3 linked regions of the Ovis aries genome follow. The protein of the gene in region 3 interacts with the protein of the main gene of each other region in a biochemical or structural test. Links are inferred from orthologs where the notes say so. Each region holds a gene or a part of one and is shown on either strand. Other genes may lie near its edges.

What was found.
Region 1: the proteins of ITSN1 (region 3) and DNM1 form a complex in vitro, tested with the Homo sapiens proteins (2 studies listed by BioGRID and IntAct, with this or other methods). The link is inferred for Ovis aries from reciprocal best matches to the Homo sapiens genes ITSN1 and DNM1.
Region 2: the proteins of ITSN1 (region 3) and DNM2 form a complex in vitro, tested with the Homo sapiens proteins (2 studies listed by BioGRID and IntAct, with this or other methods). The link is inferred for Ovis aries from reciprocal best matches to the Homo sapiens genes ITSN1 and DNM2.

The regions. Positions count from the first base shown.
Region 1 is NC_056056.1:8,035,095-8,038,594, forward strand, and holds part of DNM1 (dynamin-1), read right to left. Parts: intron 3,111-3,500; coding exon 3,001-3,110; intron 2,095-3,000; coding exon 1,983-2,094; intron 1,523-1,982; coding exon 1,511-1,522; intron 1,124-1,510; coding exon 953-1,123; intron 1-952. UniProt on the Homo sapiens protein: Catalyzes the hydrolysis of GTP and utilizes this energy to mediate vesicle scission and participates in many forms of endocytosis, such as clathrin-mediated endocytosis or synaptic vesicle endocytosis as well as rapid endocytosis (RE).
Region 2 is NC_056058.1:13,098,865-13,102,364, forward strand, and holds part of DNM2 (dynamin-2), read left to right. Parts: intron 1-2,958; coding exon 2,959-3,101; intron 3,102-3,500. UniProt on the Homo sapiens protein: Catalyzes the hydrolysis of GTP and utilizes this energy to mediate vesicle scission at plasma membrane during endocytosis and filament remodeling at many actin structures during organization of the actin cytoskeleton.
Region 3 is NC_056054.1:122,553,501-122,557,663, forward strand, and holds the start of ITSN1 (intersectin-1), read right to left. Parts: upstream 2,801-4,163; 5' UTR 2,540-2,800; exon of another isoform or gene 1,420-2,539; intron 1-1,419. UniProt on the Homo sapiens protein: Adapter protein that provides a link between the endocytic membrane traffic and the actin assembly machinery. Acts as a guanine nucleotide exchange factor (GEF) for CDC42, and thereby stimulates actin nucleation mediated by WASL and the ARP2/3 complex.

The DNA.
Region 1 (3,500 bases), on a different chromosome or scaffold from region 3:
CTGTAGCCCACCAGGTTCTTCTGTCGATGGGATTCTCCTGGTAAGAATACTGGAGTGGACTGCCATGCCCTCCTCCAGGGGGATCAAACCTGCATCTCTTATGTCTCCTACATTGGCAGGCAGGTTCTTTACCACTAATGCCACCTGGGAAGCCCAAAATGGGTAGTTACACCCTTTCCAAAGATTTGTATGTTCCACTGGACCGAAATAAGGAAAATGACAGTTTAAAATGTTCTGAGCCCTTGAGTACCAGGTGTGAATTTGTGCCAGGACTGGGTGAAATACAAGTCTCTGTGTTTAGGAGGTGGGTTAATGTTCTTAAAAATCCCTCAGTGTTACCTGGTCCAGGCTCTGGAATATTTGTGGAGAGAATATTTGTGGAGAGAATATTTGTGGAGGTTTTTTATGCCATTGGCTTGTGTCTCATTTATTTGTTATTTAAATATATGTTGAGCACATATCACATGCTGGGAACTGTGTTGTTATGCACTTTATAATCATTTAATTCTCAATTCTATTATTATCCATATTTTACAAATAAGGAAACATAGCCTCAGAGAGGGTAGTTGTTTGCTTAGAATCACACAGGGAATTTGTGGCAAACCCAAGATTTCAACACAGTTCTAATTCCCCTAGGGCTATGCTTTTTCATTAAGCTACAGGTGGAAGTGTTTCTGGGGGAAGTATTTCAAAACATGGTCTGGGAGTTCTCAAAAGATGCAGATTCTGAGCCCTTTCTGGAAAAATTTAAGCATGTCTGGAACAATTTGGTTGTGTGAATCTATAGAGTAATATGTGAAGCTCATACGACGTTTCTATCGGACAGCTCTGGCATGGACCCCTGCCTCCCTCCCCAGATTCAGCCCCCCGTGGCTGGCCTGTGTCTACCCGAGGCCAAGCCGGCCACCCACTTCCCTGGTCCTACTGCCCCCCAACAAGGTGGTGAACCCACGTTGTTGATCATGAGATGCATGATCGTCTTGGGCATGAGGTCCCGGACAGTCTTGTTGACGATGGCCATGTATGAATCCACCAAGTTCCGGATGGTCTCCACCTGCCGCTCCAGCTGTGGGTCCATGGAGTGCATGAAGCTGTCCGAGCCGTTCTCCTCCGTCTCACTGGCCTGCCATTAGGAACAAAGGGCATCAGGGTGGCTGGGCCCTCAAAGCCAGGTACAAGGCATCCCCAGGGTCCCAGCCCCTTCAAGGATGGCTAGAAGCTGGAGCACAGAGAGAAGCAGCTGGCCTATATACAAAGACACCAGCTCCCCCATAGCTCTGGGTCTCTGGACACGAGTGCCCACCCTAGTGCCTCTCAGGACCCCAGGCCCTCATTCAGCCTTGTCTTGGCTCTGACTCTAGTACCTAGAATTTGCCTTACTTTTCCAGTCCGTAAATTAGGAAAAGGACATCTCCAAGGTCCCTTCTGGATTCTAAAGACCTGGCCAGATCTAGCCCTAGGCTAGAGATGCCTGGCAGAGGCACACTCTGCCAGGGAGGGGCACACTCACTTTCTCTTTGTCCTGGGAGGCCCACACCAAAGCCACAGAGGTCACCACATCAGCATTGCCACCACCGCCGCCGCCACCAGTGAGCATAGCCGAAGCAGACACACATAGAGAGGAAAGAGGAGAGACTGAGTAAGCAATCTGGGCGCTGCACCCCAACTCGAAGGCAACTCTCGACTTTGTCACAGTGAAAGAGGGGAGAAAAGTGAGAGCAATCACAAGAAACCACCATCATATGAAAGGGATACAGGAAACGCCATCTGCAGCAGAAAAGGGTCATGTAAAATGGCACTGGAGAAGGATGGGAGGAAGGCTTAACTGATCCCACCCCGAGGCAGGTAGGGGGAGGATCCCTGCTATTTCGGAGCCCAATACCTCGAAAATATGGCACGGCTTGGCATCACTGAGGGTGGCTCCCCTGCAGGACCCCTTATTTTAAGCTGCTTGCCCCTCCCTTACCTCCCCTGCCACTCACCCCAACACGCTCAGGGTACACGCCAGCCCTTAGAAAGGAGGCCTTCCAGCTGTCCACCTCCTCCTGTGTCTCGCAGGCCAGCTCCAGCTGCCGATAATCCTTGTAGACATTCCTGCAAGGTGGGGCCAGTGGTGAGGGGAGACAGGGCAAAGCCCCTTCACCTTGGTAGTTAAGGGCACGCGTGGACCGGGGTCATCATGCCTGCAGGGCCAGTCCTGGCTTTCTTATTTCCCAGCTGTGGCAAGTCCCTTCCTCTCTCCCAGCCTCAGTGTTCTCATCTGGAAGATGGGTTAATAATAACAATTCCTGGGACTTCCCTGGTGGTCCAGTGGTTAAGACTCCATGCTCCCAATACAAGGGGCCCGAGTTCAATCCCTGGTCAGGAAACTAGATCCCACATGCTGCAACTAGAGAACTTGCGTGCCACAAGATCGAAGATACTGTGTGTTGCAACTAAGACCCAGCACAGCCAAATAAATTAATAAAAAGTTAAAAATAGTAACAAGTCCTGCCTTTTAGGGTCCTTGTGAGAATTCAGTGAAATGAGCAGTAAAATACTCTATTAGAAAGGGACTGAGGCCTCATCAAAGGGGCACCCGTGACATTGCAGTCCTTGGTTTAGATCTCAAGCCCCATTGCCCCCTCCCTGGCTTTCTCCTCTTGGCAGCTGTATTGAACCCGCATCTCTGAGTGGGAGAAGGGCCTCTAGAGTCAGCCCTGGGTTGGGAGGTGAGAGGCCTGGTACTGACAGTATCTTACCCAGGGCAGTTACTAACCAAGTGCTTGCAGAAGGGGAGGAAGGAGGGAAGGAGAGACAGAAGGGGAAAGGGAGGGAGGTCAGGTGGAAAGGAGAAAGGAAATGGGGGCGGGGGGCACAGGCCAGGAAGGAGATCTTGACATGAGTCTAGCACAGAGGAGAAACTCAACAAATGTTTGTCAAATGAATGACTTGCTGGGGGGCTGGGGGCAGGTGCCTCTCCCTTCTGGATCTGCGGGCCCCATGGGGGCAGGCGGGCACCTCTGCTCCGTGTTGAAGAGGGCAAAGATGTGCTTGCTGGACATGAAGCCCTTCTCCACGTCCCGCAGCTTCAGGTTATCCACGGACAGCATGTACTTCTTCTCTTTCTCCTGAGGGAGAGCAAGGAGTGATGGTGAGGTTGGCGCTGTTCTCTGCCCCCACTTCACTCCGTAAAGATGCTCTGTGCTGGGGCAAGGGGTTGGGGTGGGCACCTGGGACTAGGGACCACCAGCCCCCTAGAACTGCGCAGGCGCCATCTGGTGAGAGCCTGGCCGCAGAGCCCTGGGCCTGCTGGACACCTTGGCTCAAGCCCTTCCCACCACCTCCGCATTAGTGCCAGAGCTCAAGAGCCCGGGGTGGTGAGGCTGAGCTTGGCTCCCACATCCCGCCCCAAGAAGCCCTGGATACAAGCCAAGTCGGCCCCAGCCAGGGACCCCCACACTCAGCCTCTCTCGCCCCCGGCCTGGCCAATGGGGTCTGCGCTGGATAAGCCTCTGACT
Region 2 (3,500 bases), on a different chromosome or scaffold from region 3:
GCTGTAAACACTGCCTGAGTTTCTCTGTCCATGAATGCAGAAAGGACTTCTGAGAAGCACATTTCCCCCTTTATCCATAGTCATGGATGCCCCCCATTTTTCTTTTTTTAAACTCAACAGTATCTCCTGGAGCTCTGTCCCTATAGAAGCCTTCTTCACTCTTTTTCATGGCCCTGTAGAAGCCCCTGGACACACGGGCCCTCATCGGTTTCAGTTCAGTTCAGTCGCTCAGTCGTGTCCGACTCTTTGTGACCCCATGAATCACAGTATGCCAGGCCTCCCTGTCCATCACCAACTCCCGGAGTTCACTCAGACTCACGTCCATCGAGTCCGTGATGCCATCCAGCCATCTCATCCTCTGTCGTCCCCTTCTCCTCCTGCCCCCAATCCCTCCCAGCATCAGAGTCTTTTCCAGTGAGTCAACTCTCCGCATGAGGTGGCCAAAATACTGGAGTTTCAGCTTTAGCATCATTCCTTCCAAAGAACACCTAGGACTGATCTCCTTTAGAATGGACTGGTTGGATCTCCTTGAGTCCAAGGGACTCTCAAGAGTCTTCTCCAACACCACAGTTCAAAAGCATCAATTCTTTGGCGCTCAGCTTTTTTCACAGTCCAACTCTCCAGGCTCTTTTTGGAGAGCCATGTGGCTGGTTTCTGAGGCTTCCAGTCAATAAAGGGCTAATGTTCACACTTGATCTTAGCCAAAAGGTGAGAAGGTGTTGGGCTGCTGTTTAATAGCATTGTTTTGCATGTGTGCCAGGTTCTCCAAGAGTGAAATCTGTGAGGTGGGGTTTTGTAGCTCCGGTGTAACAGGCACTGTGGTCCTCTGGGGCCTTGGGCTTATGAGTTATCCCTCCTCGGTGCTATATGGTGGCACCTTGGGCCGCAGGGTAACAGTTTAAAAGTTCTTCCTGCCTGCAGTGGGACACAGTGCCAGTTGGGGAGATGGGCCCTATCCTGGGGAAAAGGCATATTTCTTTTTTTAATTTTTTGGCCATGCCACATGGCATGTGGGATCTTAGTTACCTGACCAAGGATTGAACCTGTGCCCTTGCAGTGGAAGCACAGAATCTTAACCTCTGGACCACCAGGAAAGTGCCAGGGGAAGGCATATTTTTGACTGGGGGCACTGACTCAGGACAAATCGCCAGGTAAAGGCTAGGAACACTTCAAGTGTTAGGAAGCGATGTGGGCTGGCAGAGGGTGGAAAGGCAGAGCATACCTCTCAGGAGGACAAACAGGGAAGTGAGTGTCTGGTGGGAGGGGCCCTGCAGGAAAGGAAGCGGGGGTCTGCCTGGGCAGAGGGGCGGGGGGAGGGGAAGGGAAGTAAAACTGCCTGCAGGTGCCTGGGGCTTCCTCTGAGAGCCCAGCTGGCCTCCTGGGAGCCTGGGCCCACATCCTGGTGCTTCCCAGAACGGGGTCCCCCCACCCCTCTATCACCCCATGAGCTAAACAGGGTCATGCCCCAGAAAGGCGACAGGGACCAGAGTGGACTGCCGCCCTCGGGGACCTGCAGCTCCCCAGGAAGGGGCCCCCGGTCACAGAGGGTTTCGGGGTGACCGTCAGATTCATGCCACGGTGCGCGAGTCTCCTTCACACCTTTTTCCTACCTCGGTATTTTGTCATTTCTTTGTCTTGTAGGACAGAATGCACCACACAGCGGTGCGTTTCCATTTGGGTGGTTTGAGTTGATTTTATGGCTTTTATTTATTTTTTTCATTCCTTCTCTCTTTCTCTTTTGAAAGAGTATTTTTAAAACGACAGTCCGGATACAGTGAATGTTCCATTTCCTCCCATGCCGCGACAGGCCGCCGGACTACCACCCCCAGGCGGCCCGTGTCGCCACTTCCTGGGCTTCTTTCTCAAGGCTATAAACCCTGGAGGGGCCGATGCGCCTGGACTGCCGGCCTCCCTCCTGCCTGCTCATCCCGCGTGCCCCGCCTCCTCTCTTTTCCTGTTCTATGCTTTCCATCTTCCTTGTTGCCACCCGAACAGTTAACATATTTACCCGCTGCTCTGTACCTGACTTGTTTCAGTTTTGGCCATGCCTTGTGGCATGCCGGATTTTGGTTCCCTGATCAGGGATGGACCCCATGCCCATTGCAGTGGAAGCGAGGAGTTCTAGCCACTGGACCGTCAGAGAAGTCTCTATCTAGGTTTTTCGTGAACAGCTCATCTCAAGGCTCACTACCTAATCTTTTCTGCGCCGCTGCCTCCTTTTAAAGTTTGTGAATAACGAACGAGTCCCCATGGTTAAAAACCAAACAGTGGGGGGTGGTCTGCGGGCAGGGTCCTCCTGAGCCTCCTGAACCATCCTGCACCCTGTGCTGATGAAGGTGAGTTCTCAGTTCTCCCCATCTTCTCAGAAGGGACCACATCCTACATGTGTCCTGTGCCTTTTCCGGTGAACTGTTTCTGTCATGGTTTGTAGGGCCTGTTCCTGTGGTCTGTCCATACACCATGGCCTGTCTGTCAGTCCTCCCGTGCCTGGGTCCTGCAGTGGCTTTGTAGCCTTTACAGCTTTATTCACTTATTTATTTGGCTGCATCAGGTCTTAATTGTGGCACCCAGGCTTTGTTGCCCCACGACCTGTGGAATCTTAGTTCCCTGACCAGGGATCAAACCCCTGACCCCTGCAGTGGAAGGTAGATTTTTAACCACTGGACCACCACCAGGGAAGTCCCTCCTAGACTTTGTTCTGTTCTCCAGTGAGCAACACTGGCTGTTCACGGCCAGCACTTGGGTCCTGCTCTCTTGATCCATGGTGTGCGTGGCCCAGTTGATCCACCCTCTCCCAGGTCCCCGTGGGCTGTCTGCAGCCTTGCGCTGCTGTGGACCAGGCTGTGTCACCTTTCCCTGCTGCTCGGGGTTTCCATTGGTCCCTTGAGGCTGGGGATGGAGCAGGTCTGCCCCTTCTCAGCATCCTGCCTGTGCTGACCTCTGACTTCTCTCCCACAGCAACTGACCAACCACATCCGGGAATCACTGCCGGCCCTGCGCAGCAAGCTGCAGAGCCAGCTGCTATCCCTGGAGAAGGAGGTGGAGGAGTACAAGAACTTCCGGCCCGATGACCCCACACGCAAGACCAAAGCTCTGCTGCAGTACGTGCCCCTCCCTCAGCCTGGCACTCCCCCAGGAGGCTCGAGGGCCTCCTCCCAGCCATAGGCTCCCCGCCCATCCATCTGTTCAGCAAACCCTTCACCGGAGCCTCCTGTGTGCTGGGCCCTGTCCTGTGCACTAGGGTTGCTCCAGTGTGTGGGGCAGACACCCCATGTGCTCAGAAAGGGGAGAGGAGAGGGATGAGACAAGATAAGTAAATAAGAACATGTGAATAATCTGTGAAATGGCAAAATGTCAAAGTGGGGAAGGGCTGGAGAGCGCCAGGGTAGGCTTGGGGTGCTGTTTAAAGTCAAGTGATCAGTGAAGAGTCAGGCAGAGACTGAAGAGGTGAGGAAGCGGCTGTGCAGTCCTGGGGGTGGGGGCCTGGCCAGTGCAAAGGC
Region 3 (4,163 bases):
GGTCATGGTGTTTTATTAGATGTCCAAGGCATGAAAGCTATTCTGTCACTTGAAAGACACGCCATCCTCTTCAGGACATAGTCTGGGGCCACTCAGTGAGAAGGAACCACGATGCCAGTGGTTCTCCAATGCTGCTGTGTAAGAAAACTTCCTGGAGAGCTTGTTGGAAATCAGATTCCAGGAGTCTGTATTTTTACCAAGAACTTCAGGTTATGGTGATGTAAGTGATCTGAGGTCTACACGTTGAGAAACCTGCCAGTAAGTGGAACTATTCAGAAGAGAAAGATCATTCACAAGAGAAGAGCCCTACGGCAGTGGAATGTGAACTGAGTAATATAAACCCGACCGACCTGTAATTAATTCCCTATAATTCACAAATCCACATTAAAAAGCTGAGTAAGAGTAGAGGGATTTAATCACACCTCCTCCTTAACCCTCTTTATGGAGATTTGAGTTTGCCTCAATCTAGTAATTTGGAGAAAACATGAATTTAAGCAGAGTTTTATTTCCAATAATAGGGATAAGCATTAAGAAAAAGGAAATTGCTAGTCAATTGCAAAAAAAAAAAAAGCTAAGAGACACAAACATTTCAGGGAACTAACTTGCTACCACTTGTTTTATGCCCTATTTCACAATGCTTAGTATCTGAACAATCCACAGGGTTCCAAAGTACATCAAAAATGTGTTCATTTCCTCTCTTACTCAGGCAGAATAATAATAGACTTTTGTGAAGGTACCATGTGCCTCAGAAATTTCAATAGATACATTCTTAAATAAATAGCCTTCAAAAACAATTCTATCAGAAATTCACCCTACTGCAGCTACTTATAGAAGTCTTAAATAGCTTTTGGACCATCACTAAATTAGTGTCCTTCATTTCTGAATTTGGATTACCTAAAGTTTTGGGGTTCTTTACAACTGTCCTACAGAAAGAACTCAATACTGAAAAATGTTTTTCTTCTTTTGTTATAAGCAAACTCAAAAATAACATGTTTCAGGTGAACTATTAAAAATTTAGAAACAAAACACAGTATTTTGTTCTCCATAATAAGTAGAAATCATAACTTTAGGGGGGGTACTAAGCTTCTGCACCTTAAGTCATATAAAAAATAAGGGTATCCCAACAAATATACTCCTATTTCAGACAGTAAGAGTAGCACTACATATACCAGCCGGCCTGCTGGCTCCATGGTCCCATTTCATACCCTCAGATCCTGTCCACTACATAAACTCTGAGCCTGGTCTTCATCCTTTCAAAGGGATTAGTAAAAACTGTTTCCCCGATGACAGAATTGAGATTTTCCAGACGCATTTTTGGCACGGTACTTGTTTTTTATTATCTATACTTTTTATTGCACTTGTTTTATTTGGACGTCCCGACCACGTAAACATTAAGAGCAGGATGCCAGCAGATAAAGCACAAAGAAACGCAACTATTCGGAGTCGCATCTGTTTAAATTTTCAGGCTGGTGCTGCCTCCAGAATAGCACCGAGGATGGCAAAGTTCTAAAGGAAACTTTCATTTTCAGAGGCTATCAAAAAATCTCCAGAGCCTTCAACTCAACACAGACGCCCCTAATGGTTTTCTTCAAAAACAAAGCCTTTAGTATGAATCACAACAAAAGATGCCCATAGGAAATGTAATCTACGAAGGTGCTTCCTAATCCAAAAGGCAAACAAGAAGAGGGAAAGGCGCAACCCCATTCCTCGTCGGTTACCTTTTCCTGGGGATTCTGACTGCATTTTCCTCGGTCAAGCCAGACAGAGCCTGGTAACTGTGGCTTCGGTCCACACTGTAAAACCGTGTCAGTGCGTAAAGAAGGGGAAAAGGAAGCGGCCGACACCGGGAACGCGCTCCCCCCTTGAAAGGATGAGCCGCTTTCTGTGAAATACCACCGGAGTCAAGTCAGTCCCAGCTGGAGGACGCGGGGCCAAAACGGCATTGACTGCCCTTCACTGACAGGGTAGGTTGTTTTTTGTTTTTTTTTTTTTGCGGGCGGAGGAGAGAGAAGGGATGAGCCGGGGAGGAGAGGCCGGGCATTCCGGATCCCCGGCAGGCTGGCGGGGAGGCGAGGCTCGGCCGGCCCGCCCCACTCGGGCGACCGCGGGCAGCGAGGTCAGCCCTGCAAGGGACCCCACTGCCCCGCGTGCCCCTGGAGAAAGGACGGGACCTCCCCCCAGCTCGGCGGGCCACGGCGACCGATGCCCATTCAACCCCCAGAAGCCCGTCCCGCGGCCGCCGCCCACCCCCCAGCCTCGGTCCGCCGCGGAGCCCCGGCCTCCCGGCGCGTGCCAGCCGGCCGCCACCACCACCACCCACCCAGCCACCCCCGGCGGCTCGGGAGGATGGGAAGGACGAGTCACAGGGCGCCTCCCGGGCGTGCGGCTCAGGGTGAAGGGCGCCGGGAGGGACGCGCACACCGGCCCCGGGGTCGGGGCTGGGGGGTGGACTGGCGTCCCGGGCGGCCATCGCGCCCACCCTCGCCCCGGCCGCCTGCCGGGTGCAAGGCAGGCCGACGCGGTCCAGCCCTCTCCTCACCTCATCTCCAGGCGGGTCCACGCTGCCGCCTCAGGGGGACAAAAAAAAAAATCAGTGCAGCTCAGTCGCCGCGGAAAGGGGACGCAGGAGCCGCAGCCCCGCACACCATCCCCGCCCGCCTCTCGGGGCGTCCGGGAGTCCGCCCGGGATTCTCCCTCGCGAGCCGCCGTACTACCGAGCAACCAAGCTGCGCGCCCTCCCGTCTCCACCTCAGCTCTCGGCCTCCCTTCGCTCCTCTCCCTCAGTCCCTCGCTCCCGCCTATCTCCTCATCTCCCCCGGGACCTGCCTCCCCCGCGCCCTCTCCGCCCCTCCGTCTCCGCCCACGGGGGGTGGGTGGGGACAGTGAAAAAACAACCAATCGAAAGAAAGGGCTCACACCTCCTCTCGCCCCCTCCCTCTAGCCCCGCCCACCGCGGGGGAAACGCAACTGAAAAAAAAAAAACCTGGAAGAGGAGGGAGTGACAGCCGGATCGACAAATCAGCAAGCTCAGAGGGGGCGGGACCTGGCCACCCCCAACCCCCGCCCCCCGCCGTTCCGCCCCCTTTCCCGAAGCAGGCGTCTGGCGTAGGGTTTCCCGACGTGCCTAGAGGCGTCTGGTGTGGGGCTTCGGGACGTTTTGTTCCATGGTCTCGGTGCCATTTGGCGATGCTGTGCTAGGCGAGGTACAAGTTAGGACGTCTTCAACTAACGGCAGGTGTCACAGGAGATAACAATGTGGCGGCACAAGGAGGGCGGGGCACAGTCCCGGGAAGGTGGTGGGGATGTGGTTGGAATTAGGAAGGGTGTGGTCTTGAACAAATTTACATAAAGCTGAACCCGTCGGCCTCTAGGACTTCGCGCCTTGATTGATAGCCCCAGGTGCGTCGCCTTGGAGTATGCCGGGAGATGTAGTTCCGCGTTCGGTTGCTATGCTGGTCTTCTCGCATTAATTGGTAGCCCCAAGCGCGTCGCCTTAAAGCATGCCGGGAGATGTAGTTCTGCGTTTGGTTGCTATGGCGGTCTCTAGAGTCCGAGACTGACGAGCGGCCTGACCAATGGGAAGAGGCTCTAGTGCTTAGGGGGCGGGTCCTCTGCTGAGGGGCTTGAAGGTGGCGGAGGTGAAGCTGCAGGCCGTTAGAACCGCTCCGAGGCAGGTGAGCACCGAGAGACGCGCTACGTGTCTTGGGAAACCGGCCTTTGGGCGGAAGCTTGGGAGACGCCCCGCGAGACCGTCCAGCCCTGGGGTGCAGGGTGGTTTCCGTCGCACCCCAACCTTCTTAACACCTCTTGGGCTCAGGCCTAGCTGGCTTAGCTGAGGCCGCTGAGGGGCGGGAGAGACTTGAGTTGCCTGACGATTTCCTGGTTTTTACTGGTTTTGATGGTGGATGTTAGTTTGCATCTTCCTCCACTTTCATGGAAGCAAAAGTCTCCTTCCACCGAGACTCCCAGGTTGGAGTTTATCCACTCCCGCGTCTTTTTGTTTCTATACTTTGAGTTTCTTTTTCTTTCTGCCTTACTGGTTCCATAATACTGCTTTCTCCTCCGTCACTTTTTTTTTTTTCCCCGTTGAACAATTACGTAAAACAGGGGCGTTCGGGTTTATGTAACTCTAGGTCCAGATTTGCCCTCCAGATTTAAGCTAA